Arabidopsis thaliana: one gene and its partners. The protein of the gene in region 2 interacts with the protein of the main gene of each other region in a pairwise test. Each region holds a gene or a part of one and is shown on either strand. Other genes may lie near its edges.

Evidence for each region.
Region 1: the proteins of ESC (region 2) and AT5G39580 interact in a two-hybrid assay, tested with the Arabidopsis thaliana proteins (one large-scale study listed by BioGRID).
Region 3: the proteins of ESC (region 2) and GASA4 interact in a two-hybrid assay, tested with the Arabidopsis thaliana proteins (one large-scale study listed by BioGRID).
Region 4: the proteins of ESC (region 2) and AT5G10980 interact in a two-hybrid assay, tested with the Arabidopsis thaliana proteins (one large-scale study listed by BioGRID).

Annotation. Positions count from the first base shown.
Region 1 is NC_003076.8:15,843,216-15,851,316, forward strand, and holds AT5G39580 (Peroxidase superfamily protein), read right to left. Parts: upstream 5,927-8,101; 5' UTR 5,813-5,926; coding exon 5,423-5,812; intron 4,958-5,422; coding exon 4,795-4,957; coding exon of another isoform or gene 4,791-4,794; intron 4,473-4,790; coding exon 4,066-4,472; 3' UTR 3,850-4,065; downstream 1-3,849. Other genes in the region: AT5G39570 (uncharacterized protein), read left to right, coding at 924-1,861, 2,523-2,745.
Region 2 is NC_003070.9:7,268,428-7,276,041, reverse strand, and holds ESC (Putative AT-hook DNA-binding family protein), read right to left. Parts: upstream 3,487-7,614; 5' UTR 3,019-3,486; coding exon 2,083-3,018; 3' UTR 1,970-2,082; downstream 1-1,969.
Region 3 is NC_003076.8:4,940,707-4,948,399, reverse strand, and holds GASA4 (GAST1 protein homolog 4), read right to left. Parts: upstream 3,585-7,693; 5' UTR 3,384-3,584; coding exon 3,318-3,383; exon of another isoform or gene 3,118-3,317; coding exon 3,079-3,117; intron 2,961-3,078; coding exon 2,927-2,960; intron 2,557-2,926; coding exon 2,375-2,556; 3' UTR 2,101-2,374; downstream 1-2,100. Other genes in the region: AT5G15240 (Transmembrane amino acid transporter family protein), read right to left, coding at 497-638; AT5G15220 (Ribosomal protein L27 family protein), read left to right, coding at 6,267-6,363, 6,464-6,588, 6,692-6,934. UniProt on the Arabidopsis thaliana protein: Gibberellin-regulated protein involved in the regulation of floral meristem and floral organ identity, and promotion of seed size and weight.
Region 4 is NC_003076.8:3,469,739-3,477,245, forward strand, and holds AT5G10980 (Histone superfamily protein), read right to left. Parts: upstream 3,833-7,507; 5' UTR 3,612-3,832; coding exon 3,540-3,611; intron 3,282-3,539; coding exon 3,114-3,281; intron 3,024-3,113; coding exon 2,853-3,023; 3' UTR 2,667-2,852; downstream 1-2,666. Other genes in the region: AT5G10970 (C2H2 and C2HC zinc fingers superfamily protein), read left to right, coding at 1-348; AT5G10990 (SAUR-like auxin-responsive protein family), read left to right, coding at 7,146-7,507. UniProt on the Arabidopsis thaliana protein: Variant histone H3 which replaces conventional H3 in a wide range of nucleosomes in active genes. Constitutes the predominant form of histone H3 in non-dividing cells and is incorporated into chromatin independently of DNA synthesis.

The DNA of each region.
Region 1 (8,101 bases), on a different chromosome or scaffold from region 2:
TGTCCAAAGATTTGTTTATAGACATAAATCATAGCTTATAAGATTTTTTTTTCTAAAGGTAAATAATGGTTATAGTTTATAAATAATTAAAATATAAAGATCTACAAGGCTTAAAAATAAAAATTCAAAAGGAAATTAAAATCTACAAAATAAACCTAAATGTAAAAACCATAAAACAAAAAAAATCAAGATACACTAATTCAATTGCATTAATTCATAAATTTTATCCTTATTTTTAATATATTAATTTCTTTTTGTAAAGGTAAACAATGGTTATAAATAATTAAAATTGGAAATAAAGGACCTTAAAAATATAAGATATACACAAAACCTTAAAAAGCCTCATATCAAAAGGAAATTAAAATCTACAAAATAAACCTAAATTTAAAAACCATAAACCAAAAAATATGAGGCACATTTTCTTTCTTTTCCAAAATCATAAACCAAAAATTCAAGACACAATAATTCATAAATTATATTCGTTTTTGTAATATAGTCCCTTAATGTATTATTAAATCATACTTTCTCCCATGGTTTGGTTCCCGGTTAAATCAGTCGGCAATTGGTACAATCAAATTGGTTATTACCAATTAAGATAAACCCACGTGGCATAGCTTGCCCGAATCGTAGTGGTCTCCATGTAAACAGCAGGAAGATGGGATCCACAATTATTCATTCAAAACGCAACGTTTTTAAACTCTTCGTCTTCTTCTTCCCCCGCGTATAAATTCTCATTTCTGTCATTTTGATCAGATCCAAGAAACCAAAAGAGTAAAACAAACACAGAGAAGCTTCTTCTTAAACGATGCCGTACTATACCAGAGATGACAACGACGTCGACGATTTCGATGAGTTTGATCCAACGCCGTACAGTGGTGGTTACGACATCACGGTGATCTACGGCCGTCCGATTCCACCTTCCGATGAGACTTGTTATCCTCTCTCATCTGGTGTCGATGATGATTTCGAATACGAGAGACCTGAATTTACTCAGATCCATGAGCCTTCTGCTTACGGTGATGAAGCTCTTAACACAGAGTACAGTAGCTATTCTCGACCCAAGCCACGACCCGCATTTCGACCCGATTCAGGTGGTGGTGGTCATGTTCAAGGTGAAAGACCAAATCCTGGTTATGGATCTGAATCCGGTTATGGGAGGAAACCGGAATCTGAGTACGGATCTGGCTATGGTGGACAAACGGAGGTGGAGTATGGTCGGAGACCTGAGCAGAGTTATGGATCTGGTTATGGTGGAAGGACGGAGACTGAATCGGAGTATGGATCTGGTGGTGGTGGAAGAACTGAGGTTGAGTATGGTAGGAGACCTGAATCAGGGCTTGGATCTGGTTATGGTGGGAGATCGGAGTCTGAGTATGAGCGTAAGCCTAGCTATGGAAGGTCTGAGGAACAAGAAGAAGGTTATAGGAAGCCTAGCTATGGAAGATCTGAAGAACAAGAGGAAGGTTACAGGAAGCCAAGTTATGGAAGATCTGAGGAGCAGGAAGAAGGATATAGAAAGCCTAGCTATGGAAGATCTGAGGAGGAACAAGAGGAAGGTTATAGGAAGCCTAGCTATGGAAGATCTGAGGAACAAGAGGAAGGAAGTTACAGGAAACCTAGTTATGGGAGGTCTGATGATCAGGTGGAGAGTTACATTAAGCCTAGCTATGGAAGATCTGAGGAACAGGAGGAGGGAAGTTACAGGAAGCCTAGTTATGGGAGGTCTGAGGAACAGGAAGAGGGGAGTTACAGGAAGCAGCCTAGCTATGGCCGTGGCAATGACGATGATGATGATGAGCAGCGTAGGAACCGTTCTGGTTCTGGTGATGATGAGGAAGGGAGCTATGGCCGCAAGAAATATGTAAGTTGAAGAAATTAATATTTTGTTGAATCCTTTGGTGATCATATTGTAGAGTGTAGAGTAATCCAAAGTTTATATCTTTAGTGATTGTTTTATGATCATTCATGATTTAGCCATCTATAAACATCATTATAAAGAACCTGTCTAAAGTCTTTGTTTGGATACATACATGTCAACGAAATGTATCTGTTTCACAGTTTACATGAATAGAAAGCTAGTTCTAGGATTCCATTTGACTTTGGTGGTGTAGTATTCGATTGAATATGGACAACATTTCGTTTGGTTGAATTATGCATAGCTTGCATCTAGGTTGTGTGGAAATTAAGTTTGATTGGTTAGCACTGAAAACCCTTTGTTGATCATAGTGTAGAGTAACTCGTTATTGAACTAAAGTTATATCTTTAGTGGTGGTTCTTGTCGATTAATGATTTAGTCATCTGTGAACATCCATTAAGAAGAACAATGTTGTCTAGTTACATACTTACATGTCAACATTATTTTATTGAATTTGGCCATCTTGAGGATATCTGAAGGTCTCTCTTTCCTTTCTTATGGTCATAGTTCATAGCAGCGGCATCATTAACCTGATGTCATTGTATGGGTCATTACATAGGTTACACTTTTGACGTAGTCCTAATTATTTCCAATACACAATTTGCAGGGTGGCAATGACTCTGATGAGGATGAGGAGAAGAAGAAGCACCGTCACAAGCATCACCACCAGAAGCGTCGTGACGAAGACGATGAGTAAACTAAACCCTCTCTGTGCTAGAGAGTGTAATGAGAATGTGTGTTTGCTTAGCCTCAAAAATCTACTAAATAAAGAGCTAAGTCACATACCTTTCTACATAATATCTTCCGACGTTGGTGTTGTGTTTGTTTGAATCTCTGTATTATTACTACAGAGTCTTCGTACTGGTTCATAATAAGACCTTTAAGTGGTATTGGGTCACCATGTAACTGTTGCTACTCTGTTTCGTTTTCTATCTATCGTTTTGTGTTATGATTTACTTTTCTATCCTTATATAATTATGATGATCATTTCGTGTAATATCAGAATGTTTTTTGCATGAATTGGAATTAGATGGAAACTTTGTTTAAGAAAATATCAGGAGTCTTGTTGCACCATGGTCCCAGTCCTCAATAGTATTGGCGAGTCTAAACCAAGAAGCTAGAACCAAGAAGCTAGAAATAGGATCCAAGACTAAGTTAGGAAGACTGATATATGTAACTAAGACTTCATGAACCAAATATAAACCTTAATTTTGTGGATCATATGAATACAGCGCGGCACATTAGTCTCCCACACAAAACAAGCCCAATAGTGTGAGATGGTCACGCCTGATAAGGTTTTCTATATGCCTTTTAGTTCTCACATACGAATTCAAAAACTCTATCCAGTGAAAGAAAGACCGTAAGAAGAAGAGAGAAAGAGACAAACCTGGTTCTCATGCAGGATTTTCAGGACACCGAGCAGAGGCTCATCCACGCTTTGATCAGGCTAGCCGAAACTCTAAGGGTTGCGACTCGGCAATCTTTGTATTCGACGGTGGTGTTTACATTCCAATGGTTGGTTTGTGATACCGAACCGTTTAAATTAAATACAATTTGAATTTGGTGAAGAATGGTTGGTCATGCTCAAACAAGTGAGGGTTGATCTTGTTCAGTCTAGGGAAGATCGATCGTGCTCGGCCATACCTGGTATTGGATTAGTGTAGTGTTACAATGATTTATGTATGTATAAATCAGTATCAAGAGAACAGTCTTTTGAGGAAGGCTGACGGAAACATCTCGACCTAGTACTCCGTGTTAGGGTGTTTCGGGCCGATAGGTGAAATGTAGGCTTATCAAACTGGTAGGTTGAACTCACTGATTAAGACACTCTTCTCTCAGTTATACTTTCACATTGTTGAAGCTTCTTTGATTCGAATGATCAATTGGATCAAGGTGATAATTAGTATTCCACGGAAGGTTGGCGATTAATAAAACACCAATTCTATTCATGTAACGAAATTGAACTTTATTTATTCCACCAAGTCAAACCGAAAGAAATGAAATACATTTATCAGCAACCCACTTTTGGGTTTCTCTCATATCCTTTCTATTCTATTGGGTTTAAATTTAAATCAAACTATAAAAAAAATGCCCTTGAACAAGAGTTAGCCATAAACACTTTTTTTTAGCCATAAAAACTTAATCACTGATTAATTAACCGCAGAGCAAACCCTACGAATTTCTCCATTTGTCCCCGTCTTCACACCAATATTACTCATTTTAACCATTGACCTTGCGAACTGGACATTGAAGTTGCCTCTAGGTGCCATAAACTCTTGCACTATGGATCTTGTGGCCGGACTAGTCCAAAGAACGTGATCGGATTGAAGAATTCCTCTGTTACGGCTGAGATTGATGAAATAAGATGTGTCAAAAGTGTTTCCACTTCCGGTGTCAAGATCAACACGTGCTGATCCGTCGCCGTTTTGGGGACAAAGTCTTTGAAGTTGTGGTACAAATGTTTGGTCCATTGTTGGATCTGCTGTGTTTCCGCTCGAGTTGAATATCCTGTTCGTGATAAACCCACATGCAGCTGTTCCGATCGTGTGTCCTCCTCCTATTAATTCATATAGGTTCATCTTCAGTTTGATTAACAATATAATTGAAAAATATATATATGTAATATGTACACCGAAATAAAACTTAATTTTCTTTGAAAAATACGAAAATGTTTGGTTTAAACATGAACCTGATCCTAGAGTTATCCTTATTCTTATGCAAATTAAGTACGAGTGACAATAAACCATGCAGTGCACAACACTAACTATTAAAGTGAATATTCAAAATATGAAAGAAAAAAACACGTACGAGGAGTTTCCATCCAAACTAATGTATTGGATCTATTCTGATTTCTAAACGGTGATATATAGGTTACATACCAACAAGAGTGACGAGATCGCGAGTGTTGAGGCGAAAAGCGGAGAATTTCCTTTGTTGAATGGCTAGAGAGTCACTTGGAGAAGGAAGATTGTTAACGTTCGATGCCAAGGAAACTCTTCCATCTCTACGTCCTGTTGGAACTTGCCAACTTTGTCCGTTTGTCTACATACACCCATGCAAATTAAAGCCAAACAAACGTTAATTACTCTCTGTCCGCTTGTACATTATTTTTGTTTTTACTTTCTTTGTAACCAATACTAAGTTAATATTATAGAAGAAACCAAGTAAAACAAACATAAATGTTACACATAATTGTTTGAAAATATAATATTATAAAATCTATATTTTTTTCAAATATATGTTATGTAAGTTCTTAAGTATCAACGTTTAGTTTGTAAACACAAAACCAAAGAAATGAAGAAACGTAATCTTTGTATTTTGGCGTATATATACCTTGTAAAATTAGTTAATATAAAACAAAAAATTGTGTTGCCTTTGTTAATCCTCTTTACTTACTCATATCTAAATACAAACACAAAATATTGGCATTTAAAACAATCAAGACATAGTTCTTTGCTTATATATGATATATTGATTGTTGTATAATTAGTATATATATAAACTTACGAGAGAAACCGAATCACGAGCCGCTAAGGCCAAGATATCAGCACAAGAGACAACACCAGGACATGCTGCCTCGAGCTGCCTCTTGGCATCGTCAATGACCTCAAAACCATGGAGGTTAACGTTTGCGCCAGCGGTTCTTTCAGAGTTAGGTCCCGATAAAAGCACCGAACCATCACAACCTTGGACAAAGCAATCATGGTTGTGCATTCTCAGTAACCCGGGTGCAACCTTTGGATCTGAACCAAAGTGAGATGCCACAGTGGTCCGAACAATTGTCTCGGCATTAGGGCACGTAGTCGAGTAGAACCCGATCCTCGTACCTTGGCCATAAACGGCGATGAGACAACTAAGGAAGACTATGACCAAAGCAAATGATCGGACCAAGCCCATTTTTTCTTTTTGTTGGTTTGTGTTTTAGATAAGACCGCAAGTGTGTTTCGAGTTAGTAGATAGAGTTTGTTTTAGATGCATGGAAAGTGATACGAGAACGTGAGTAACTTATAGAGGGATTGAGAAGTCAAATGGTGATGTTGAAGTCAGCGAAAGGGGCTAGAGTGTTGAGGTAATTTGACAAAACGACGACGTTGTAATCCAATTCAAAACTGAAAACCGCGTTATGTGATTGGTCATGAGCTGGCTTCGCGCGTTGACGATTGCAGATCATGTTGGGTTTGTTTTTTCTCTTTTGTTCGTTTCTATCAAACTAATTCCTAATTAATAGTGTGTAATCATTTATAATGAATGTGATTATAGAATATTGTTTTAGCAGGCGTTAAACTTTGATTCAACTCTAATTCTTTATTAAGGAAACTCGTATTAGTGCATGATATTTTCATCTACAATGCACCGACTTTGGACTGGTTAATCGAATAAGTGTTAAAATACTTTAGGAAAAGAAAAAGTGTTAAAATATCCAAAACATGAACATCCACTATTCAACAAAAGTTCACTGACCGTCTCACAAAAGTGTTAAAATATCCAAAACATGAACATTCACTAATCACTATTCAACAAAAGTCCACGGACATCACTATTCAACAAAAGTCCACGGACCGATCCATCGTGAGAGATTAGTGTATTGACCGGAACATATAGATAGTATAGTCTTTAACAAACAAACAAATAACAAAATAGTATAGTGGGTTTTCTTAATAATTAAGCTTTGTTTCTTTGACTGGTTCGGTTTGTTTTGTTCGAATTTTAGTAATCTGGAAATGGAAGAATGATGTCGAATTTTTCAGTTCGATTTTTTGGTAAAGATATATATTTCGGATAAAGATCGGGTTCTACCCGCACCAGGTTTGCTATATAGAATGATGTTGTGATGATAAAGATTAATTCTATACGTTTACTTTCATAACAGATTAATGACTAATGGCGACACGTTGATTGGTGGTGATCACTGATCAATAGCCAGAACTCATGCTGACTAAGACTAACCATCGTTGTTGGTCCATAGGAATTTTTTCTGCAATTAATTTTTATTTGAAACAATAAAAATTTGTAACAGAATAGTGACATATAACAAATAAAGAGTTTTCTACTTGTCCCTTTAGGATATAATAAAGTCAGATGTTTTAAAAAGAAGAGTTTTCTATGAATTCCTGTTTCTTAAAATAATTTTTGTCAATATAGATGTTATTTTCCTATAAAAATCCATGCATGACGTTAACAAAGACTAGAAAAATTCAAAAATTGAAGATTATCATATATTATATCTTGTCGTCGTTGATGTATATTCATCGACCAAATTTTGGTCTCTACACATATGTATATATTGGCGTCGAAGCTTAAAAGAAAAAAAAAGTAAAAACCCTTATGGTCTATATATAAATCTTGTTTTTATGGTACCAAAACCATATTCTAACTAATCGTAACGCAAGTGATCGTCTTTGCTTCAAATGTAAAGCTAGATAACCTGAACGAGTTTGGATGCTGGCATGCTGCGACCTTGAAGTCGGTCCATTGGGTTTTTATTTGTACATACGGACAACATTAATTGCCCATGAGTTGCTAAAATCCTTCTCTGGGTCTTGTTACAAGCACCCTCTTCAAATTAGCCTCTATATATTTTGCATGAAAATAGTCTGAGATTTCCCCGCAAATGATATTTGAATTGGAAATAATTTTTCTCTAACCCCTAACCCCTAAACCCTAAACACTAAATTGCATAATCTCAATTTTTCTGTTGAGCACATCTATCTAAAGATGTTAATTGAGCTGTTCAGATCTAAATGGGTGAAGTCCAAATATGAACAAAACTAATGATACAAACTCAATAGCACCGTATCCAAATATGACCAAACTCAATAGCACCGTATCCAAATATGACCAAACTCAAATAAGACAATGATTAATTAGACAGTGTATGGAACCTAAATATATAATATAATTTTCTATTTTCCGCAAAAACACATTTTCTCTCAAACTCAAAGAATTGCATATTTTTTAAATTACATTTTTTTTTTGCCAAAATTGTAAAAATATTTTTTGGAGTTAAAATGTCAATGTAAACTCCAAATAGCTAGAAAATATTTTGAAATAGACAAATTTAGTGGGAGCTTTGAAACTTTTTCTTTTGGTGAAAATATTAGTTGGGGTATTCGGCTTAAATACATTTTGCTAATCAGTCCGGTTTAATATTTTCTCGAACCGGAACCGGATCAATCCACAATTGAC
Region 2 (7,614 bases):
TATAGCTGAATAGGCGTAACAAAGCTACCTGAAAGTAGTTAACTATAATTCGTTTTAGTATGTTGGTATCATTTAAATAACTTTAAAACTTTCTCATGAAAAATAAAAAAATATTACTACTTGCTTAAGCTTCCTTTTGTTCCTAGTCAATAAATATGTCCCTAGGGAATTGGAACATTCCTCTTTTTCACATATCTTGGTAATCAAAACCCCATTTTTTGTTATGTTGTGACAGAGACTAGCTCTTAACTGACACTACAAATGATTTATGTTCATTGTTAATCTTACCATGTTAAGTTCACTAATTTGTATGTAACCGACGTACGTGAGATAATCTCTACTTCATGTTTCTACTGTGCTCTGTAACGGTTGTCTTTAACCAATATACATTGACTAAAATCCCAAAAAACAATACTATGCTCTAAAAATGGTTAAAGATTAGATGAATAAATGGAAAATAATAAAGATGTAGTATGAGATATGAAATAAATAAAAGTAATCCCCTCGTTATATATTTTGCATAATAGCAGAAGCATATTCTTCTATGAATGAATTTGTTTACTTTTCAGTGGGATGTTAGATAATGATTCCATTCTATTTAACGAATATGATTAGTTTTAGCAGAATATAGAATTTCACTCTTTATCTCTCTAGTTAGACAAGTATCCCCAATATCATTTACTCGTTCTTTTTATCAATATATATATATATATATATAAAAACTCATATTTTGTAGTGACGAAGAAACACGAAAATAGTAATATATAAACCGGTATAAAACCATATTCCATATATATATTTAAATTGTTGGGACAGAAATATATATAGATTGAGAAAGAGCAGAATATGTATTTGAAGTGTTGGTTGAGAGTTGAGACAAATTCTCCATACCAGCCAAAATTAAGGGGTTGGAAATCTCAAACCAAAAACTACGATTATAACATAAATGGTACTGTGCATATGTGACCTATAAATATTAGCTTAAAGCTACGTACTTGTTGCCAACCTGTCTTTGAATAATGTTGGATACAACTATTTTACAGGATCGACGGTTAATTAACTGAAGCATTAATGCATATTTTATGCATGTAATTAAGTAACTGTAGTGATCGAATGAAAAAGGTCATAACATGGCCACTAGGTATACATGTAGTATTTTTAAAACACTAGAAACTGTATGAACGCTAAATAGTTTAAAAATTGCCCATGTTGTTTTCCTAGATGGTAAGACTCGAGATCGCTTAGACGGCCCTGTCGTAATTAAATAGCCAATTACACCAATCAATGGAATTTTCAACTGTAAGTACAAACGGCTAAAAAGACGTTCTAATCAGGCAAGTGGTTAACTACAAAATTTAGAACGATGCACGTTTTGATCAATATGTAAGCATATTCTTAACACCTTATATATAGATGGGTATATATGACAGTACTCTTAACACAATAACACCGTATAGATAGATAGATATGACACAGAAGTTGTGATCTTAAAAGGTATACTCGGCTAAAAGACGCTACAAGTACTCAAATGGTACGAATAATGAATTTAGATGCACAAAACGTATATATTGATCAATATGTATAATAATTTTCTAACCTTATAATGAATACTACATTGAGGTTGTTAAAAAGTTGAAAGAACTATATTATACTATGATTAAGGTAACGTATTGACGTATTGTAAAAATATTCAAATGAGCGCCTGAGATGTGCCCACATAATATTTCATCAAGAATACGCCGTGAAGCTCAAAATTCTTAAAAGAACAAACGAACTCATTATTGAATAGTCTAGACCTATATATCTATCAAATCGAGCTAATTATAATAATAGTTATAGGGTACAACACGAAACCCTAGCTATGAATAAAAGAAAGCCATATATGGAAAGGAATTTTCTAACATAACGAGACACATGCATTTCTCTAACATGTAACATCTACCGAAGATATGAGAAGAAAAGAAATAAACACGAGAAACCAAAATATGCATATCAACTAAACATTAAACACCAAATATCCCAAAGGAAAGACGACTCCACAAGATGATAAAAACACATAAATTTCCGGACATTAAAATTCAATTAAAAAGGTGGTCTTGAAGGTGTTCCAGCTCCCCATCCAAGCAAATGAGGATCACCAGAAAACCCATAACCACCCACATTACCTCCTAACTGTCCCTGACCGGTCACTCCAGACGGCGGAGATGCTGATGGAGCTTGTTGCATCTGCGGTGGCCCTCCTCCTCCTCCTCCTCCGCCACCACCACCTTCTTCTTCCTCCTCCTCAATCGGTAGTCTCTCGAAAACCGCATTTGAGAACGAAGCCGCCATTAGTATAACCGGAGCTGATGCAATAAGGGGAGCCACAACGCTTCCTCCGACCACCTGACCTTGCCCTCCGGCTAAAAATATAGACAAACCACCGGCACCAGGCGGTGCAGGAGGTGGCAAAACAGTCCCCGTTAGCGAAAGAATCTCAAACCTTCCATGTAAAGTCACAACTCCTCCTCCTCCGGACACACCACCGCCATTTCCAGGAGTGACTGGCTGACGGAGAGTGACGTTAGATACGGTGCCGTTTCCTCCTAAAACGGAGACGCCTCTCCCTCTCCTCCTAGCGTACGTGGAAACACTCTCAACTATGTCAGCTCCAGGAGATACTTCAAGAACGTGAGATCTAAGCGCGTTGGGGCTATCACGAGTTACTATGATCGGTGGCTTGGCTTTGTTCTTAGATCCTGGTGGACGTCCACGTGGACGTTTTCCCGGTGCTGAGCTTGATGTATTCGGGTCTGAATCGGGTCGACCCTGTTGATGATGATCTTTGTTTGAATGGTCAGATTCTCTTGAATCATCCGACGGTTGTTGTTGTTGTTGATGTTGCTGGTGCTGATGATGATGCTGGTCGATAAGATTGATCCCGCCCTGCGGTTGAAGCTGTTGGTGGTGAATCTCCGGTCTAAAGAGGTTATGGAAGTATCTAGAAGCTCCACCGCCTTGCTCGTAACCGCCTTCCATCGCCGCCGCATCTACTAATTCCCTATCCCACCACTGCTTATTCGCCAGCTCAAATCAATTTCTCGATTCTTGATCCTGCTCGTTCATATATTGGTAGCTAGGTGAAGAAGAGCGTAAAGAGAGAAAAAGAAAACTCAGATCGAGAAGTCAAAACTCATGATTTTGAGGAAACAATAGCTAAAGCATTAAGGTGTGATCGGTTACGCAAGCCGACAAAATATAGAAACAGACCAAGAACAGAACTAAATTAAAGACGAAGCAAAAGATATAAAAAAGGTGACTTATGTTAAATGATCTCTCTCATGAAAGGTAAGAGGAAACCCTAGTTAGGTAGATTAATTAGGGCAAGAGAAAGAAGTAGCTTCTTCTTTGCATAGGAGTCGTATTTAGCGATTCTGATGTGCTATGGGAAAAAAAGGAGAGAGAAGCTTGAGATTCATGTGCGACTCTGCAATAAATTTTTGGTCCTCTCATTGAACGAGGAAAGTAAAAGCAAAGACATACACCGAGAATTTAGCGGAGAAACAGTCCCCTTTATTATATCATTAATATAATAATTATTATTTGAATAATATGTTCTTTTTTAAGTAAATTAATACTATTTATTACATATACACAAATGCCGACAAAAAAATTTATGTGTGTAAGTGGTTATCCTTACATAAGATCTACCAAAGAAAACTAGGGGTTCGTCGCAGTTTTTGTTTGGCTCCAATCGGATAATACAAAAGAAATTTAGAGAAGGAATTCTTATATTTGAAAGCATGAGATAAGATTAACAGAAGAGATAACATTTGGTCAATTTGTTTATCAGATACTATTATATACGAGCTAAAGAAAACGTATCATTTAACAAAAAAAAAAAAAAAAAAAAAATGTCAAGTGGAAGTTGGGTACACAAGGATTAAAACGAATCCTACATTCCCTTTAAGGCGCGTGGAGGTTATGTTTAAACAAAAGTTATTTGATAAATGTTATTATCATGTTACTAACTTATTTATGGTTTTAGTAACTTAATTAAAAGGTTTTCGTATAAGTAAAAATGAGAAATAGTACTATTTAGTCTTCTCTTACTTGAGAAAATACTACTATAGGTCATTTTATTTAGAATTTTAATTTACTTACGCATCTTTTTATTGTAAAACTTAGTATAAACTTGCATTATTACTAGATATTTGTAGGCTTGTGATTTGCATAGTGCTGCTGATATATGTTATTATTCATATTCAAACTGGATGCAGAACGTGAGTTATATAGAAGAAGAAAAGAAAAAAAATTTACATGTATAGTATTATTATTAGTTTTGTCAACTAATTTTGTAAAAATATAATGTATAATAATTTAAAATAGATATATAGTATATGGCTTGCGAATACAATATTCTAAGAAGAACCCACGTTCTATAATAAACAAACGGATACGAACCATCTTTACTATAGAAAAAGAAGAAGAGAATTAGTCACTTTTAAGCGCTGCAGAACAACAATTGATTAATTCTGCTTGTGATGTGTTTTTTTTTTTTTTTGGTTGCTACTAAATTATCTTGCTAAACCCGAGCTAATTATATATCAAAGAATCAATGTTCTACTAAAGTACTTTATATTCACTTTTATTGTCAAGAGGGCATAAGGCGCATAACGTAGAACAATCAATCTAGGTAATGGTCCTTTGTTCTATACTGAGATAGTGAGATCTACCCATGTATACTCCTTTAAATATCGTAAAACGGAGTGGACCCTTTTTGATGATAAGTTTGGAGAAAGTTAATGATCCATTAATGTGATAAGACTAGCTGATAATTATCAAAATGTCAAATTAGTTGATACTACTACTTTATATTTTCAAAAATTATTGATAAGTACTCCACTTTGTTGCCTTATGTCGAATTTGGTGAATCACTAATTAGAACTACGCTTTTTCTAACATGGACAAAAAAATATACCAGAAAAAGACAACTAGACACTGATAATTTATTGATTTAGAATGAGTAATGTATTAGTAAAATTTTTTTTTGATATATCATCTTCATACAAATGATATCAAACTTTTAATTTACAAAAATTGTTTGGGAAACAAACGATAATCCTGAAAACACTTACCAATTGCATCAACCCATTCAAATAATTATTGACTTATTCATCTTAATTTATTGAACTGACTAAACTCGATCCGACCCATTAATGCATGACCTCATATCGGACCGTGACTGGTTGTCTTAATTTTTAACTGCACCCATATAGTAACACCTAAGCTCCCTCAACGTGGACGCATGTGGCCTGAACCATGGTGGGACCAATCTCAGTAGGAAAGTAGGAAGTGGATCGGAACCGTCCATCCTCATGGCATGTGGGACCCAGGAACCGTCGTTTTCATCGGCGTAACCTGGCGAGTCAGGGCTCGGTGCAATGTACTTGAACCGGACACGTTAGCTTGGTCCGCACGTGCACAGACAAAAGTCACGTGCGGTCAAAAGGTCAGAGCATGAAAGTGAAAGCCAAGCTGTGTGACCACGTGGAGGCGGTCGGATCATCGGTACTTGGTCAATACCTTATCCAATCACAGTACTCCTCCCGAATCTATCTAACTTACTTTCGCGTCTTTTGCCCGTATTTCTAATGCTTAAAAGCAAAAACGTACGTGAAGTCTTTTGTGTGCGGTATTTTAATCATAAACTGGTCCAATTTTTTTCTATCGATCGAAAACGGAATGTGTGGAACTATCAAGATACTTCGAAAATAAGTGAGATATGTTTTATTTGCCCCCAAAACAGAAAAGTGAGAGGTGTTTCATGTGATATATAATTTAATTTTAAGCCATAAAGAGAGAGAACTACACGTCATCCAAGTCTATAAATATGTGACTGTACCTAAGTTCTTATGACGCTGTCGCTACTCGTCTAGATCATGAACACATTTCTCTCACATTAATTAAAGATTATATATGTATTAATGAATTCAGACGTCCAGTTACTGTCGCGTGGAATTCAATGTTAGAGAACTCATTAGAGAAAACTAAGTTAAGTTCTTGGTATCCATAAGAGTTTATATATTTACCAAACATGGAATAAAAGCAGTTCTAAATTGTTCCGACAAACACGTAAACTGATCAAAACATATATATATTTTTTTTTTTTCCCAACGACCAAAATATCTCGTAAGGATGCAGTAGATATGTGAGGTTCGGAGGCACTAAAGAATATCAATTTGGTTTCGGTTCATAATTGATCCCTTGATGATCTTGTAGCTGTTATTGTTCTTCTTTTTATTGTGGCTAGCTATTGCTTCTTCAGCCTACGCCCCTACTCCATATATGTATCTCCCCAGTCTGCTCTCATGCGATCACGAAAGGGTATCTCTTTTAGGGAAATCCAACAACTGGTGAATAAAATGCTGGCTCTTTATATCTAGAAAAAAAAACATCAAACAAAAAGTAAAGGTCGTGAGACTAAATATCATACCCTCTTTAACAATAAATAATATGGGCAAAAAATTGTGATGATTTAGGGATACCGTACCCATCAATCAGTATGCTAATTTAACTTCTATATTTATGTTCTTTTGTTTTTTTTGCTTTCTTTTCTCATCAATCAAAATACCACGAGCCAGATGTATATAAGATATTAATGCCATCCTTAAAGTTTATACTTACATAGCGATTCTATTCTCTACAGCACCTTTAAATTTTGTTTTTATAGTTTTGAAAGTGTAAGCAATGAGTTCGCTGTATATAAAATGAAAAAAAAAATCTAGCTAGTCTTGAACTCTCAGTTCTCATTAATTTTATGTACGTTAGTTAAAAAGTATTGATTTATCAATTCGTGGCTTTTTTTAAACCAAGTAAAGAACATGTATTATAACGAGTTTCTAACTCAGCTAAGTTTGATTATATTTTCTCCAAAAACTCGAACATCAATCGGGTGAAGACTTTCCCCCTTCTATCAGGAATTCAGAATTTAATTTACTAAATATCATACTTTGGAAATATTATTCATTGATAGTTCATAGTTGATAATGAATATATGGATGCATAAAATCCTTAGATAAGAAAACAATCAACAAGTCTAATCGAGCTCTTTATATCAAATTATCAATCAAATCATACTTTTTAGTTTGTCGCACGGAATCTAACATGCCCCGCATGTTAGCTTTGTACAAGAAGAAATACGTAACGATGAGTTGCACATTATTAGAGTAAATTAAATTGCTTTAGTTAAAATATTTGGCAATGATCTTCTGATAAAGTGGATAGATGAAAACGCCCCTGATATTCTTTTCTATTTTTTCTATATTAAATCTTAAAATTGTGCCTCATTTGTTTTGGTAAAAAATAAATAAATTATTTTTATATCTTAAAAAAAACGATTTGATTCCATTGACCTACAGTATTGCGTATTGTATGTCGTATGATAATAAATCTACATTACTCGAAAAATAAATATGAGAATCTAAGTACCATGATATGATTAATGGTTTGTGATAACATTATCACTATGTTATCATTTGGATTCAAACCTAAATAAAATACGTGAACCTAACTAAGTATTCATCAATCTATTTATCTAACAATATAATGGACTGTAAATTTGTTCTACAGATC
Region 3 (7,693 bases), on a different chromosome or scaffold from region 2:
CCTAACCTTTAATAGTCAGAACAAAAATGATTTGGTTATTTAGCACTATTGTTTATCAAAGACTATGAAACTGAATCTAGACGAAGAAAAACACAATTCAGTCTAAGTAGAACTGGTTTTAACTTGGTTATGATAAATTATCAACAGAAAAATTAAATAACTAAAAAAACTGAGGCAAGACTAGGAGGTAAAGAAACAAAATGTAGGATTGAAATACACACCAATCTAGATGATACAAGATAAAGTCAAAAGCTTGAGTTAAAAACATGCATCTATAGAAATTAAGTACAATAAAGCTAATTATAGTTTTTTCTAGATTATTTTGAAAATTAAGATATATCCTATCCATATATGTGGACATGCTAAGAGTTGGATCTTTCCCCGTGAGTTATGGAGTTTGGAGATAAGAAGAAGTGGTGAATAAATCAAAAAGAAAAAATCAATCACGAAAATGAAAATAGAAAAAAAAAAAAAGAAGAAGAAGAGGAAATTAAACCTGATAAGGCGTTAATGCCATGGAAACAAGTCTTGGAGAAAGAAGTATTGCCCTGTGGATTATAATCATCAAGCAATGATTCTTCATCATCAATCTTCTTAACGATAAATGGCTCCGACATGTAATCTTTGTCCTCGCTCATACTTGTTTAGTCTTTGACTCTGCTCTTTGGATATCGAAGAGACAAAGAGAGAGAGACGGAGAGATCGAGAGACGAAGGAAATAGATAGAGAGAAGTTGGAACTTGGAAGTAAACAATAAAGAAACCCTCAAAAGGCAATATATATAGTGTTAATACATTTACTAGGGTCAATGTTTTTAAATTACATCAATTATTAGAGCTGATTTTTATGCAGTATCCATGCACATATGATATCTACACGATATTAGCGTGGCAGTGGAATTCTATTTAATGTTTATTGACCAATTAAATATTCGTGGATGGGGTTTTTAGAAACTAATTGAAATTTAAGTGCAACTCTTTATATAGAAAAAAATTATAACCACTTACACACAAATCTACCATAATTTGCGATTTGTGTGGTTCTAGAATTTAATGTTAGTTGTATAAGAAAATTGGTAGGAAGAGAGAAAATAAAACTCCACGAAGTTTTCCACTTTAATGTTAGGGCGTTTAACTTAGGTGATAGAGAGAATGCAAGTACCAAATCCTCTTTCGGTGAAGACTGAAGAGGGATCAAATTTTCATAAAAATACATGGTCCAAAGTAGTATATCATGTCAATAATCTGTTGGACGAGACTGGAGCACTTGAAAAATCGTCACATATTTTTTTGTTGTCGTTTGTTAAAAATAGTTGACAAGTGAATCCCCAGACCTAAAGAGTAGATAAGTATGAATAGCCTTGATCTGACGTAAATCAATATCTTGACGCTAGTTTACAGTTATGTTCTACAAGGTGCCGAGTAGTTCTAACAATAATGAAAATATCGACATATATATCTATATATTTTCGTTACTATTAAAACCATACTGCAAATTTTTTACAGTTATCCAATATGTTTTCATTCAGAAATCGAAACCAAAAACTTTTATAGGTTACAAAATGAGTTCTTTAGAAAAGAAGAATACTCATTGCCGGCCATTTCCCCATGTTGTGCTTGTGAAAAAATAGCATGCACATGTTGATAAAAAAAAAAAGTATCTTCTTCAAGATCACCATTCAAAATGCATGTGAGATGTCTAACAAAGAGAGCTAAATTGAGCTTTGTTGTTAATGCTAATAACTATAGTTGTACTCCAAACCTCATATTTCTTGTCGATTAATGTCAATATATAAGGCATTATTAAGAGTATTTATTGATACGTAGGGTAATGAACGGGTAAAACGTTTATAAGTTTGTGGTTCATATCATTGCACCGATTGTAAAATATCGTTGTCGTTATTTATTTCCAACTGCCCAAAGCCCAAGTCTTGTATAAAAGAAGATTGCGGCAAAAAGCAATCGCGTTAGAACACGTGATTTTGTAAAAAGCTTGGAAAAATCAATAATGGGCTTTTTAGTACTGGGCCGAGAGACCCAATGTCACTCTTTTCTACATATGCATACTTCTTTCGCAGGAATTTTTTAAATTGTATTATTTGGTTTGCCTTACCCTTTATAGTATTACTATTTTCGAAATGGAAAATATCTTTTTTTTTGGTGGATGAATGGGAAAATATCTTTAGAAACACAAGTATTCATGAAAAATATCATTCATAGGGCCACTCTCATTTTTTTTAGGATTTAGAACAAAATCCGAAAAGGAGTGACATAACATTACAACATTAGGAATAAAGTAGATAAAACATTGATCAAAGGAAATTTAGTTATAGTTGAAAATTTTTATTATAAAAAGGGAACGAAGGGAGATTTTTTCAAGGGCATTTTGGTCCACCCTCTTGAGTTTTCCAGTTGTTGTAGCAGGAGCAAACTTGTTTGTTCCCATAGTAACCCGGAGGCACACAGAGACACTTCCTGCAGCATTTGTTGCAGAACGTAATGCAAGCCTTGTGGTACTGTGTCTTTTTACACCTCCTATCACATTCCGATGGGCATTCTGGTTGTTTCAAATACAAACAATATCAAAATGTTAACACTCAAAAATTTTTTATTACTAATAAAAACAACAGAATCTAGTGGAAATTCATTAGCTTTTTTTTTTACTGTTTTGTGGGTCTCAAGATAGTGGGTTGCTTTGACTGTATGACCATATTAAGGGGCAATTTCGTCAATATCTAATATATTTTGAGTCTACGGATCTGACCAAACAGTCCACTTAACACTTCACTTTCAACTTATTTTCTGCAACTGAAATGCTTATTTTTTTTTATTATAACACAATAAAAGATTTCTTGAATTGTTTATTTTTCGTCGATTATGAGATTAAAAAAAAATTGTTTAAGAATAGCTGTGAAGAAAAAACTTACGGGTACGTTTCAGGCTTCCTGGTCCATAACGTTTCTGAAAATTAACCAAAAAAGGTAACTAATTAATCACTTTTCGTTAAGTTACGAGATAACAATAGGTATAAAATATAGTTTAAAAGGTAATTACTAGTCGATTCAATAATAAAACTGACCTGGCTCCACTTCACATTAGATCCACTTGAGGCCATAACCTAAAAAACGAAAAAAAGAGAGAGGAAAAACAAGTAAAATTAATTTCATTAAAAAGGCTAAATTAAATATATTCCAACTAAAAGTACAATAATAGAACCCACATTTGTCTCATATCGTTCGTCAATAAGGAAAACAATCAAATATATTATCTTCAATATTTTCAAACATTGAAAGAAGAAAAAAATAATAGAGGTGTTACCATGGTTTGAAGCATGAAGAGGACAATGAGGGTCAAGAGGAAGATAGCTCCATATGACTTAGCCATTTTCAGTTTGGGATATTGTTATCCAAAGAACCAAACACTCCTCTAAATCTCCTCAAACTAGTTTTAGTCTCTTGAGGTATGAAAAGAAGTGTACTGAGAGAGGAGTTTTTGGTTGAGGACCCAATGATGTTGCATATAAGCTATATATACACACATTTGCTCGTATCAATTATTCCCTGTGGCAACACATATCATTATTACTGTATTCCTCCAATTATATTATTCCACGTATGCCTCCAATGTTAGTCCCATTTTATTACTTGCTATTGGTAATTAGACTGCGGTAGATGGTTTTGCACATGGTTTAAGGAAAGCTTATAGTACTAAATATAAAATACTATGAACCTGTTTTTGATAAATCAAGTTTTGCTTATAACACCAGTTGGAGTATCTCTTTGAAGATTATTTTTTAAAAACTTTAGTTTTCTTAGGACATTTCTGCTTAGTTTTATTTTCCTGTGATTTTGTACATTTTTAGATTCATTTTAGGGTGAATATTTTAACTAAGAAATGCCAAACTAAAACTCAATATCCATCTAACTACGATTTTATAGAAGGAAAATGAAAAAGGGTTTATTTTGTGGCTTTAAATTGGGTGCTTGCTTGGTGGGAAGACAATATTGAACGGGTTTTTTTAACCACAAATATATTATCAGAGTTTATAAAAGATAATTGAAATTGTATTTTAACAATGAACAAAAAAAGGTGGGACGGTGCATTGAAGAAGGAGACGGGAGTTAGATCTGACCAACGGTCCCAACTGTAAATTATAATCACACTCTTACTATACTATTATTCATTCAAATACCATTATTTGTTGACGGATCATGAACATATAGTCAAGATAATTTCTTTAGATAGTCAAGATAAATTCATTAATTACTCTAATTCTTCTGATATGTTTCCAGAGAAAAACCAGATCTAGATCCACTGTTATAATTCGAGGGCAAATGAAATACTAGTAGCTAACAGAAGAATACTGTTTTAGAGTTACGATCTAGAATTCTAGATATATATACAACATTTTTGTTACACCTGATTTGAGATATTACAAAAGTGCTGTGAACCTTAAAACACAGGTAACTCACCACTAGCATCTCAAGTTGGGAAATGAAAGAAAAATCACGATTAACGAAAGAATAAGCAACTTGAAACACACACATATATATGCAACAAACTAAAAACGTATATATGCGCACACCCAAACATAAATGCGCATTCACATCCCAACTTGAATATCAGATCATATAAAGTTGTTGTTTTAAGTAAAAGAAAACTAAATAAAAGGTTGAAAAAAAGAAAAGAAAAAGAGAAGGCATGTGCAGTTTTAGCCAGTTTCACATGCTCACCCAATTATTGTTTTGAGTCGATCTGCTCGGAGAAAAGGAGGGAACATTGGGATATTTTTTGGTTTTCATAAGAAATGTTATCTTTTCTAGTAACGATTAAAGTTGTTTTATACCCAAAAATAACAATAATATGTATGTAATGAGACGTCACAAAAAAAAAAAAAAAAGTAAATGAGAAAATATATTTAGCCAGATCAATTGGCGGAAAACAAGATTTACCTTCGTTATTATATTATGTATAGGATATATACAAATGTATAAGAAGATCATGATAACTTGTAAGAAATGACAATGAATAAGCTTAACTCCAAGGTGAAGATTATATATAAGAGTGTTGGTGTATAATCCAGTTGGATCATTTCATTATCTTCAGATTATGTTTGATTCAAGCCAAGGATGATGTCTTGTTTAAGTTTAAGTTTTAAATTCGGTTTATGAGAGACTACAACTTAATTTTATTTATAATAAGTCTGAATTTGCTAAACCAGGCTAGACAAACCTACTAATGTAGAAGACATTTGTAGCTACTGATTCCCCTAATCTAGTTGAAACTGTATGGTACTAATTTATAGGAATCTTTGTAGTTAGATTTATAAAATAATTGGTGTGACACAAAATTTATTACAAGGGGTTAGTATAAGAAACTTGTAGGGTCGGGGTACGGCACGGCAAAGCACGGACCGTAGGACCATTGAAATGCGATTTCAAATAAAAAGATTTGAAAGCATGTGATCCATCACATGGATATTGATTATTACTGTCTAACAAAATAAACTTGTAGATCGTGTCCAGTTGTTCTTCAAACACATGCGTATAGAAAATGTATAACATTTTGTTATTAATGTTACAAGAAATAAAAGATAATGATCATCCATCATTCATGATGTCATCTTGTTCACACTTGCACAAACCTAATAAGTTATATACAAGACATTTTTCTAGTTTGGTTAGATTAGGTTTCTTTTCCAAAAACCGAACTATCAACTTTTTTTTGTGTCAAAATTTTCAAAAATTAAATAAAATTGACTGTCTAAAAAATCACAAAAGACTATGCAAATTTCTCTTTAGTAATATATCAATTTTGATCCAAATGAAAATGTAGGGGTCGTTATGTAAACAAATGAAAACATGAGGACCCTCCGGGCGTGTATAGTTCACACTTGACAAATAGGGGTTTTGGAGTTAGGCCCTTCCATCCTAATCGCGCTTCCGTCGCCGACGCCATTTTACTCGCCGTCGTCATCTCCGGCCACGCTTGTCATCGTTCGCAATTAATCGAAATCGAAATTTTCCGGTAAGTATCCTCCTTTCTTATTACCGTATCATTCGAGAGTTGGAATCGGATCGGAAATGTAATTGGTTTTGAGGTCAATAGGTTAATACGTTTGTGACAATGGTGGAGTTTCGAGTGTGAATGAAAAAACTCCATTTGCTCGAGAAGATTTGATGAAATGGTTTGTATAGTATTGATTTGATTCTACTTGAATGATTAATGTTTGAATTGCTCTTTGTTGCTTGCAGATTCCTGAAAAAAATGAATTTCTTAAACTCAGCAGCATCCATTTGCAGAAGAGTTAGTTTGAGGGAACTGATCACTGAGGTTCCTGCTTATAGTGGCAGTAGCATTTCCGGTATAGATTTGCGCTTTTCAAAATCTATATTTTGATGATCTTAACTAGTTAACTCATTTGTGTAATTGTTGCTGTTGTTCTTGTTTTGGGGATGTTAAAGATGGTTCTTCAAGTGGCTTGAGTTTGGTCTTCAAGCGTTGGGCTACTAAGAAAACTGCTGGTTCTACAAAGAACGGTCGTGACTCTAATCCCAAGTTTCTCGGTGTTAAGAAATTCGGAGGAGAGGTAAGAAAATAAATAACAAGCGAGATAAGATTTTGATAATCAAATCAGTCTTGGTCTGTGTGAAGAAAATAATGTTTGCCTGTGTGTGTGTGTGATTTTGCAGAGTGTGATACCAGGAAACATCATAGTTCGTCAACGGGGAACTCGGTTTCATCCTGGAGACTATGTGGGGATTGGTAAGGACCATACTCTGTTTGCATTGAAGGAAGGACGAGTCAGGTTCGAGAAAAGCAAGATTACAGGACGCAAATGGATTCATGTTGATCCAACAGGTGGTCATGTTCTTCACCCTATCTACACAAAAGCTGCAGCTGCTCAATCGACTAAGTTGAAGACAGCTTCATAGTCGTGAATACTGATTGCAACAATCTAAACGTGGTTTTCATTTCCTTTAGATCATGTGATCTCTCGAGTAAAAGATGATGCTATCTTAGAGCAGAACCACTCAATTCAATAACATCTGCTGTTTTGTTTCCCTCTAGTCTTTGTCTGGATTTTGATGAAGGGCTTTGTTTGGATTCAACAAATCAAGTTTTATTCGGAAATAGATGTTAATCAAGTCTGAGTTTCTCTCATATGTGTTACGCAAAACAGACAAGTAACAGTCTGAGATAATGTTTTCCCGGCCCGTTATAAACTCATCGAATAATGGGCCAACATTCTAAGCCTCAGGCTCTGGCCCGTCAACGCGGCTAGATCCGTTCATTGAATCAGAAACATATTTATCCTATCGGGTTTAAAATTTCAATTAAAATTTCAAACATAAATTTCTCTCATATTATCATATATGGACGAACCAGCTTTGTTTTTGGCATAATGTGAAATCAAGAGCCAACTTGTTTTAGCCATTAAAGTTTCCTCAAATACTTCTCAAGTTGCCATGCACATCAATATTTAGTTTTTGAATTATTATTTTCTTGTAATTTTACACATTCCTATTCAAAAACAATACAATTAAAATAAAATCATTTCGTTTATAACACAAAAAAAGGAAGAAGAAGATGTCATTGTTTTTTTCTTTATTCACAAATCTTAAGAACAGTCCATATTAATGCATACTAACCACCCATGCGATACATTCATCGTATATGATAAATCCTTCCAA
Region 4 (7,507 bases), on a different chromosome or scaffold from region 2:
GGACAGTACAGCAACAGAACCTTGGGTATTCAGGCACACTCAATGAGTCATAAGCCAAGTTCATATAACGTTTACGGTGGTGAGTATGGTCAGATCAACTGGTCAAGGATACCACTAGTTCAGCAACCAGCAATAGCAAAACTAACTTCAACAGAGAATCATTATAATCATCATCAGATGATGATTGCTCCACCGTTGACTTCCACATGTGAAAACATCGGTAGGTTCGATGTAGGAAGGATTCCAGTAGAGTTTCCAACTTCTGAACTATGGCAGAGAGGCGAGGAATTGTTGAAGCCAGCTGAAGAAGAGAAGCAGAAGAACCTTGACTTGTCCCTTAAACTTTGAGAGTCTTTTCTTTTCATTTTTTTGGGTTTTGCTCTGAAATTGTTTTCCTCGAGCCAAGCCTTTCCTCAAGCTTTCTTTTCTTTGTGCTGGTTTTTTGTTGTCATTGATGTCTACACCAGTATTATTAAAGGGTTAGTAATCTTGTGAGTATATTTTCTACCATAGATTTATGATGTACAACTTTCACACTTCTACAAGTTTGAGGTTTTAAGGTAGACATCAATGGATTTCTGTATACACCCAACAACCATAAAAGAGATAGTGAAGTTCCTAGAAACGAAGTGAAACTTTTTAGTGTATGAAAGAAAGAGATTATCTTGAGATATATGGGAAGATTTGTTGTCATGGAAACCAGAAAAAAGACTTATTGTAAAGTCAGAGTTGCGAAACCTAAAAGTAAGAAAAACATTCTTTTATTGAAAAGTAGTTAAGAAGACACACAAAGAAAGCAAAACAAATATAAAATAAGAACTTGTTAGTTGTGATGATGACAAGAAACAAAGAGTCCAGAAGAAAAAACATAATTAATACATCATATGATCCTAATAATGCAGCTAATAACAAATCATGAAATAATCAAGAATCCAATGAAATCTTTGTGAGACCCGAAATTTGTGTACACTAGACAAAGAGTGACTAGTCTTTGGCCTTTAGAATGAATCTATATGCACTACCTAAATATACATAAATAGAATGTACAAACAACCATGTGCGTATGATGCACAAAAGGTGGGACAAGAGTCAAGACTTATAAGACTAAGACACAAATTTAAAAGGACTTCACATAATTCTAATGGACTTGACTCCAACTCTACACATCTTGAGATGACAAACATCAAAACTGTTTCATGAGCTTTCACAGAGAACGAAGTTTCAGTGTTTCAAATATTTAAGAAAACACATGATTGTGAACAGGTTTATGAATACTAGCAGGCAAAGATATTATGGCCAACCTGAATTTACCATTGTGCTCTATCACTAAAGGGCAACATAGAAGCCAAAATAACTCATAGATTGATAAAGAAATATAAATATTTGACACAGTTACACTCAACACCAAACGTTGGACAATACCAAATGTTGGCATATGAATCTGAATATACAGATTATCAAACTCCTCACCTAGAATCAAAGTAGAAGTATGTACACTTTCTTCCCAGTAAACATATAAGGCACAAGACAGATCATCATGTTTGTTTTCAGATACAAAATTGGCCACAAGCAACCAAAAAAGGAATGAAAACACACCTTAATGAATAAAACAAAGAAGAAACACCAAGGCAGACAATAACACATGTGGAATAAAAATCTAATGAACCCAAACCTCATTGATTAGCTCTTGGGTCCATTTTTCATCTACTTGTATGTATACCACAATTCTGACCCCATCAATACTCTTCAATCTCAGTCACACTTTCCTGAAACACACAGCAAGAAAAAAACGATATTGATGGATCAGTATCAGGTTGCTACCAAATTACATCCACATGTCAGCAGATTAATAGAATTAATCAATGCAAGTGAAAACGTATCCTTTATGATGCACTGTTTTCTCCTACAACGCAATGACCATAAGAAAAAAGACATCTTTTCATTGCAATGAGAAATTTTACAGTGTTCTCTTATTTTGCAATTGACACCATTGCTAAACGATACGAATATTTAAAGCTAAAGTTAAGTAAAGCATTTTTCATTTGCTCGGAGATTCAAGCATTTTGATAATCCGATTAATTCTACGGCAAACACTTAAAAAGCTGAACCAACAATCAACTTGAATTCGCAATGATTGGCACAGTAAAATTTCAATGAAATTAAGAAATACATTGGACTTGTGAACAGAAACCAGGCATTATTAAAGAAACGCCCACCTTCAATACACGTAGAAGACGGAGCAGTACCGGAATTTCGCCGGCGCTGACGTGAGGACTCCGAGTTTTTCGAACATGACCAAGTTAACGAAAATGTAATCTACAATTTTAAAAGGCCCAATAACTGGCCCATATAAATAAATTTTAAACAAAATGTAGCCCATATTGTCTCCAAGTAATTTGTTTTGTTAAAACAGAAAAACGCTTTTTTATGTCTCTTTCTTATCTGTTTTTCAGACCAAAGTTACGAAGCTCATATTGACATCGACAAGCCTTTTAAATTCAAAAAAAGAGAAGAGCATAATTCTGAATTTTGCGGCAACATTTAAACTTTATCGCAAGTTGGTTTTATCCAATCGTTCATACACACTATCCAATCAAATTCATATGCATCTTCGTATCAAAATTGTCAGTTTTTTCTGGGTTATGTGCAACTTGTGAATGAATTTTGCAAAGAAATCAACAAGAACCAATAACGGAAAGGAAAGATTTCATAACTGTTTGCTTAAAAGAGCTGTAAGTTCAACAATTAACACCATGTACTTGGTAAGCAAATAAAAGAGCGATAGGAAACAAGAATCCAGAATACTAATACATCATCGTAAAAATCTAAACTTGAATTAGGTAAATAAAAGCTTAAGCACGTTCTCCACGAATTCTTCTAGCCAATTGAATGTCCTTAGGCATGATCGTAACCCTCTTGGCGTGAATAGCGCAGAGATTAGTATCCTCGAAAAGTCCAACTAGGTATGCCTCAGCCGCCTCTTGAAGAGCTAACACCGCGTGACTCTGAAACCTCAGATCCGTCTGCAAAATTTAACCTAATTAGTATACCTAATTCCATAACATAACCTAATTGATAAGTTTTAATCCGCCGCTAATGAGTATAAATTTTACCTTGAAGTCCTGAGCTATTTCCCGAACGAGACGCTGGAAGGGAAGCTTGCGGATCAACAATTCAGTACTCTTCTGGTACTTACGAATCTCACGAAGAGCGACGGTTCCTGGACGGTAACGGTGAGGCTTCTTGACTCCTCCGGTGGTTGGTGCTGATTTCCTCGCCGCCTGTATTGAAGAATTCGTTAGAGACGCAATCGAATACTCAAATTAGATAAACCCTAGATCCCCTTCCAACCAATTTCATCATAAACAAAATCAAAACCGCAAGATTCATACTAAATTAGATCATAAACTAAAAATTCAACACAATATAGAAAACCTAGATCATATTTTTCAGATTTCGTCCACAAAAACTCGTTATTCAACCCAAATTTGAACCCTAGATCTACTATTTCGGTATGAATGAAAGATAGAAGGACAAACCTTGGTGGCAAGCTGCTTCCTGGGAGCTTTACCTCCGGTGGATTTCCTAGCGGTTTGCTTGGTACGAGCCATTGTTTCTTCCAAAAGATGTGACTTTTCGATAAGCTTGATAGAGAAGCTTTTGATTTGATTATCAGGAAGCGAGTTTTGTTTTCTTGATGATTGTGTGGGAATAGTAAAAGGTGATTATGATTATATAGGTGAATGTTTTAGTCGGTTAATATTAGGAAATACAGAAGTGGTCCAATCTTCACATTTTCGACGGTCAAGATTCGACTTATGAGAGCGAATACTGACGTTGGCGATCTGCGTCCTCGCTTCTGATTGGTTTAATCTTGGGAGGATCGATGACGTGGCTAGTTTTGTGTTTCTTTTCTACGTTTGTCGTTTGAAGTAATCACGATTTTAGTTGGGTTAGAAAAAAGGTAATGACGATTTGATCTACATGTTTGGTAATTAGCGATGATGGGCCGAGTCGTATCCCTTGGTAGGAGTACTGCGTTGGGTTCAGGCCCAACTGATAAGGCATTGAGAGTTCGTCAGCTGTGTTCTGAATATCGATCCGAACCAAATTTGGTACGGCCGCTCCGATCCGAGATTTCAAGTTGGTTGGGTTAAAACCATCACATATATGACATGGACATGGTTGAATTATAAGTTTATAACCTCATCATAATTAAAATTCGGTTTGGTATTAGAACATGAAAACATTCCAGCCCAACTCTTAACTAAAATCCGATCGACCAAAAAGTTGCTCATGCATGATATCGTGTTGAGTTAAATCTATTCTTAATTGGCTTTTATAACGTGAAAATGCAAGTTTTTAACAGAACATATGTTTTCCTGCTCCACATGTATCATAGATCTTTACAAAAGGTTTCTTTTAAAAAGAATTGGAGTGTAAGTGTGGAACGTTAACGAATTCACGTACTATACAAAAGTTGTACGGAAAAAGCTATATATATTTAATACCCAACATTATTCAAGTTTATCACTTCTGCTTATGGCCATTGAAGCCTAAATTTGAATGCACAAAATACAGTTTTAAGTTTTACGTGTTTTAAAATAAGAATTAAGAACGACATAAAGTAATTTAATCTCTCTGATGAAATGTAATTAGGTAACAAAGTTTTTCTCTTTTCCTAAGGGGGTGAGCAAATTCTAGTACAGACCTATAATAATCTGTCTAGTTAATATTATGTGTATATTTACTAGATGGATATTGTTGGTTCAGAAAAAGGCATTACACAAAAGATAGTAATCGATGAGATAGTTGAGTATTTTGTAAGAACAAGAGTTAGTGATTGATCCCAATTAAACCTCACAGTTTCAGTCACTACGTATGAACATGGTGCAAGAGGGCGGAAACAGACTGCCCGATGCCGATTCATTAAATGGATTCGATCTCTAGTACTTTTTATATTAGTTTACCAAAATATATACTTAAAAGAATTCACAGGACATAACAATTATACTGTAAACTCATTGCTGCATAGCAGCATTAATGAAAATATATATGCTTAAGAAGAGAAAATCAAACGAGAAGATCCTTAGAACTCAACAAGTAAGTGTTAGTAAGTAACCCATGGCCATGGGGAATGTATCCAAGCTTCCACATGCACTTGGATTGACCCAAGTTTATTTGTTTTAATACATACTATATTTTATTACCTTTGCATTTAATTCATATTTCCTTTGATATATTAACTTGACTGCAATATACAAAAACGATGTAAATTGATATTAAGCAAATATTATAACCAAATCACGTCACATGCAGACTATGTGATATGTAGGATGGATAAGTGGTCGAGGTTTGGAACTTTGGATTATTGATCAACCATTGTTTTTGATATTTGTCTGGATCACTCCCACACTTTATTTTAAGGTGAGAGTGGATAATTGTTTTTTTTAGTTACTGGAATATTGTGGGTTCTATGTAATTGGCCATATTTTATCCCATAAAAATGTACGAGTTAAGTATAATTTGAGAGACGATCAGATTCAAGTCTATTGAGAGACAATCATCAAGTTTATATTTTCTCCAAACATTAAACGAGAAATATTTTGGGTTCTTTGTTGGAGATGAAACGTTAGCGCACATGGCGGCGTGGACACATTCGTAAACTACAAAAACTAGTGTTTTGGTACGCCGCATTACATTATTGTTCGTCTCTTATAATATACTTTTGTTTTGATAGCAATAAACTTACTTATTTGTAAAAAATAAATTAAACTGATTTGCCTCTGGTGACAAAATCTTTAAAACAGACGATTATGTTTTGACTATATAGTATAAAATTAAAATTACATTTGTTTAAGTACATTTCCTCCAATTCCTGCTACGCATGCATGTGGTGGGTTTCATTTATTTTATTAACTAACCAGAAACCTCACACTTCCGTGCGCTGAAATTATACTAATCTTATAATGATATAATTTAGTATTCATTCAAAATTTGTATATTAACTTTTTCTCGAACATTTTTTTTTTGTGTTTAGTTTGAAGAATTGAAAACTTTGACCCAAGAGCGGCGGTTGTAGCTAGCCACTCCTTCGCATGTACGACCACGAACTAACTGATAACACTTTTTTACATCTTGAAAGTTGAAACATTAAACATTTATATCTTTAAATTAAATTGTATATACAAATATTTGTTTGCGATCTTTTGTTCGACGTGATATGTCCGGCTTATATGAAGTTCCCAATTATGGAATCGTTTAGGGCTTTTAAATTTGACGTCGCCTCCTATAAACCCAATGTTTTGCTGCTCAATATGAGATCTGCAGGAATAGAAACTTGCATATTTTGGTACGAGAAATAGCTACACATAATTTAAAGATATAAGACTTTGATATCATATAATGAATAATAAAGAGAGGAATGCCTCTTTTATGTGTCTCTAAATCCCAATGTGGTGTTAAAGTATTTCCAATGACTGCTCTTTTTGTCCAACACTCTTTAGTTTACATTAGCACATGCTATTATTTTCCTACCACATACTACAAATTACTTCTCCTTTTTTCAATACGTGACAACTTTTTTCTAACCATTATAAGTTTATTACATTACTAATCATTGACAATTTCATTCAATTATTTCTAAGCAAATTCTTTTGTCTCTAATGACTGCCAGTTTATCATGTTTTTCCATGATAGTCTCTCATTAGCATATTATAAAAAACCTACCTACGATTTTATATTAACCAATAATCAACCACTAAATTTCACATGTCGAATCCATCATAAATCAGACATATCCAATGCATCAAGAAGAAAAAAACACACAAGATCTTTAATGTTTCCTCATCTAAGAATCGTATCTAATATCTCTGTTAACATAATAATTAAAACTAATCTCCCGAATAAAATTAATCTAATTCATAATCACACACTATTCCTGTTTCATCCGTCGCAAGAAGCCAAAAGTAAGAACCAATGTGGTAATCTCGTAATTATCACAAAATCCTAAGGGCATTATGTTACTCTCTTTACTATATATACCTCCCCCCTCCCAAAAACTCTCTACCTCACATTTTCTCTGTTTCTCACACTTTCTCGTCTAACGAAATACCAACACGTTAAAGCTTCTGTAATCGGAAAAAATGGCTGGAGGTATCGGAAAATGTAGCAAGATCCGACACATTGTGAAGCTAAGGCAAATGCTTCGGCAATGGCGTAACAAGGCGCGAATGTCGTCTGTCAGACGATCTGTGCCGTCAGATGTACCGTCAGGACACGTGGCGGTTTACGTTGGGAGAAGTTGCAGGAGATTCGTGGTGCTTGCGACGTATCTGAACCACCCCATTCTTATGAATCTCTTGGTTAAGGCTGAAGAGGAGTTCGGTTTTGCTAACCAGGGACCGTTGGTTATCCCGTGTGAAGAATCGGTTTTCGAGGAATCGATTCGGTTTATAACTCGGTCAAGTCGGTTTACTTGTACCGATGATTTAAAGAAGAATCGCCA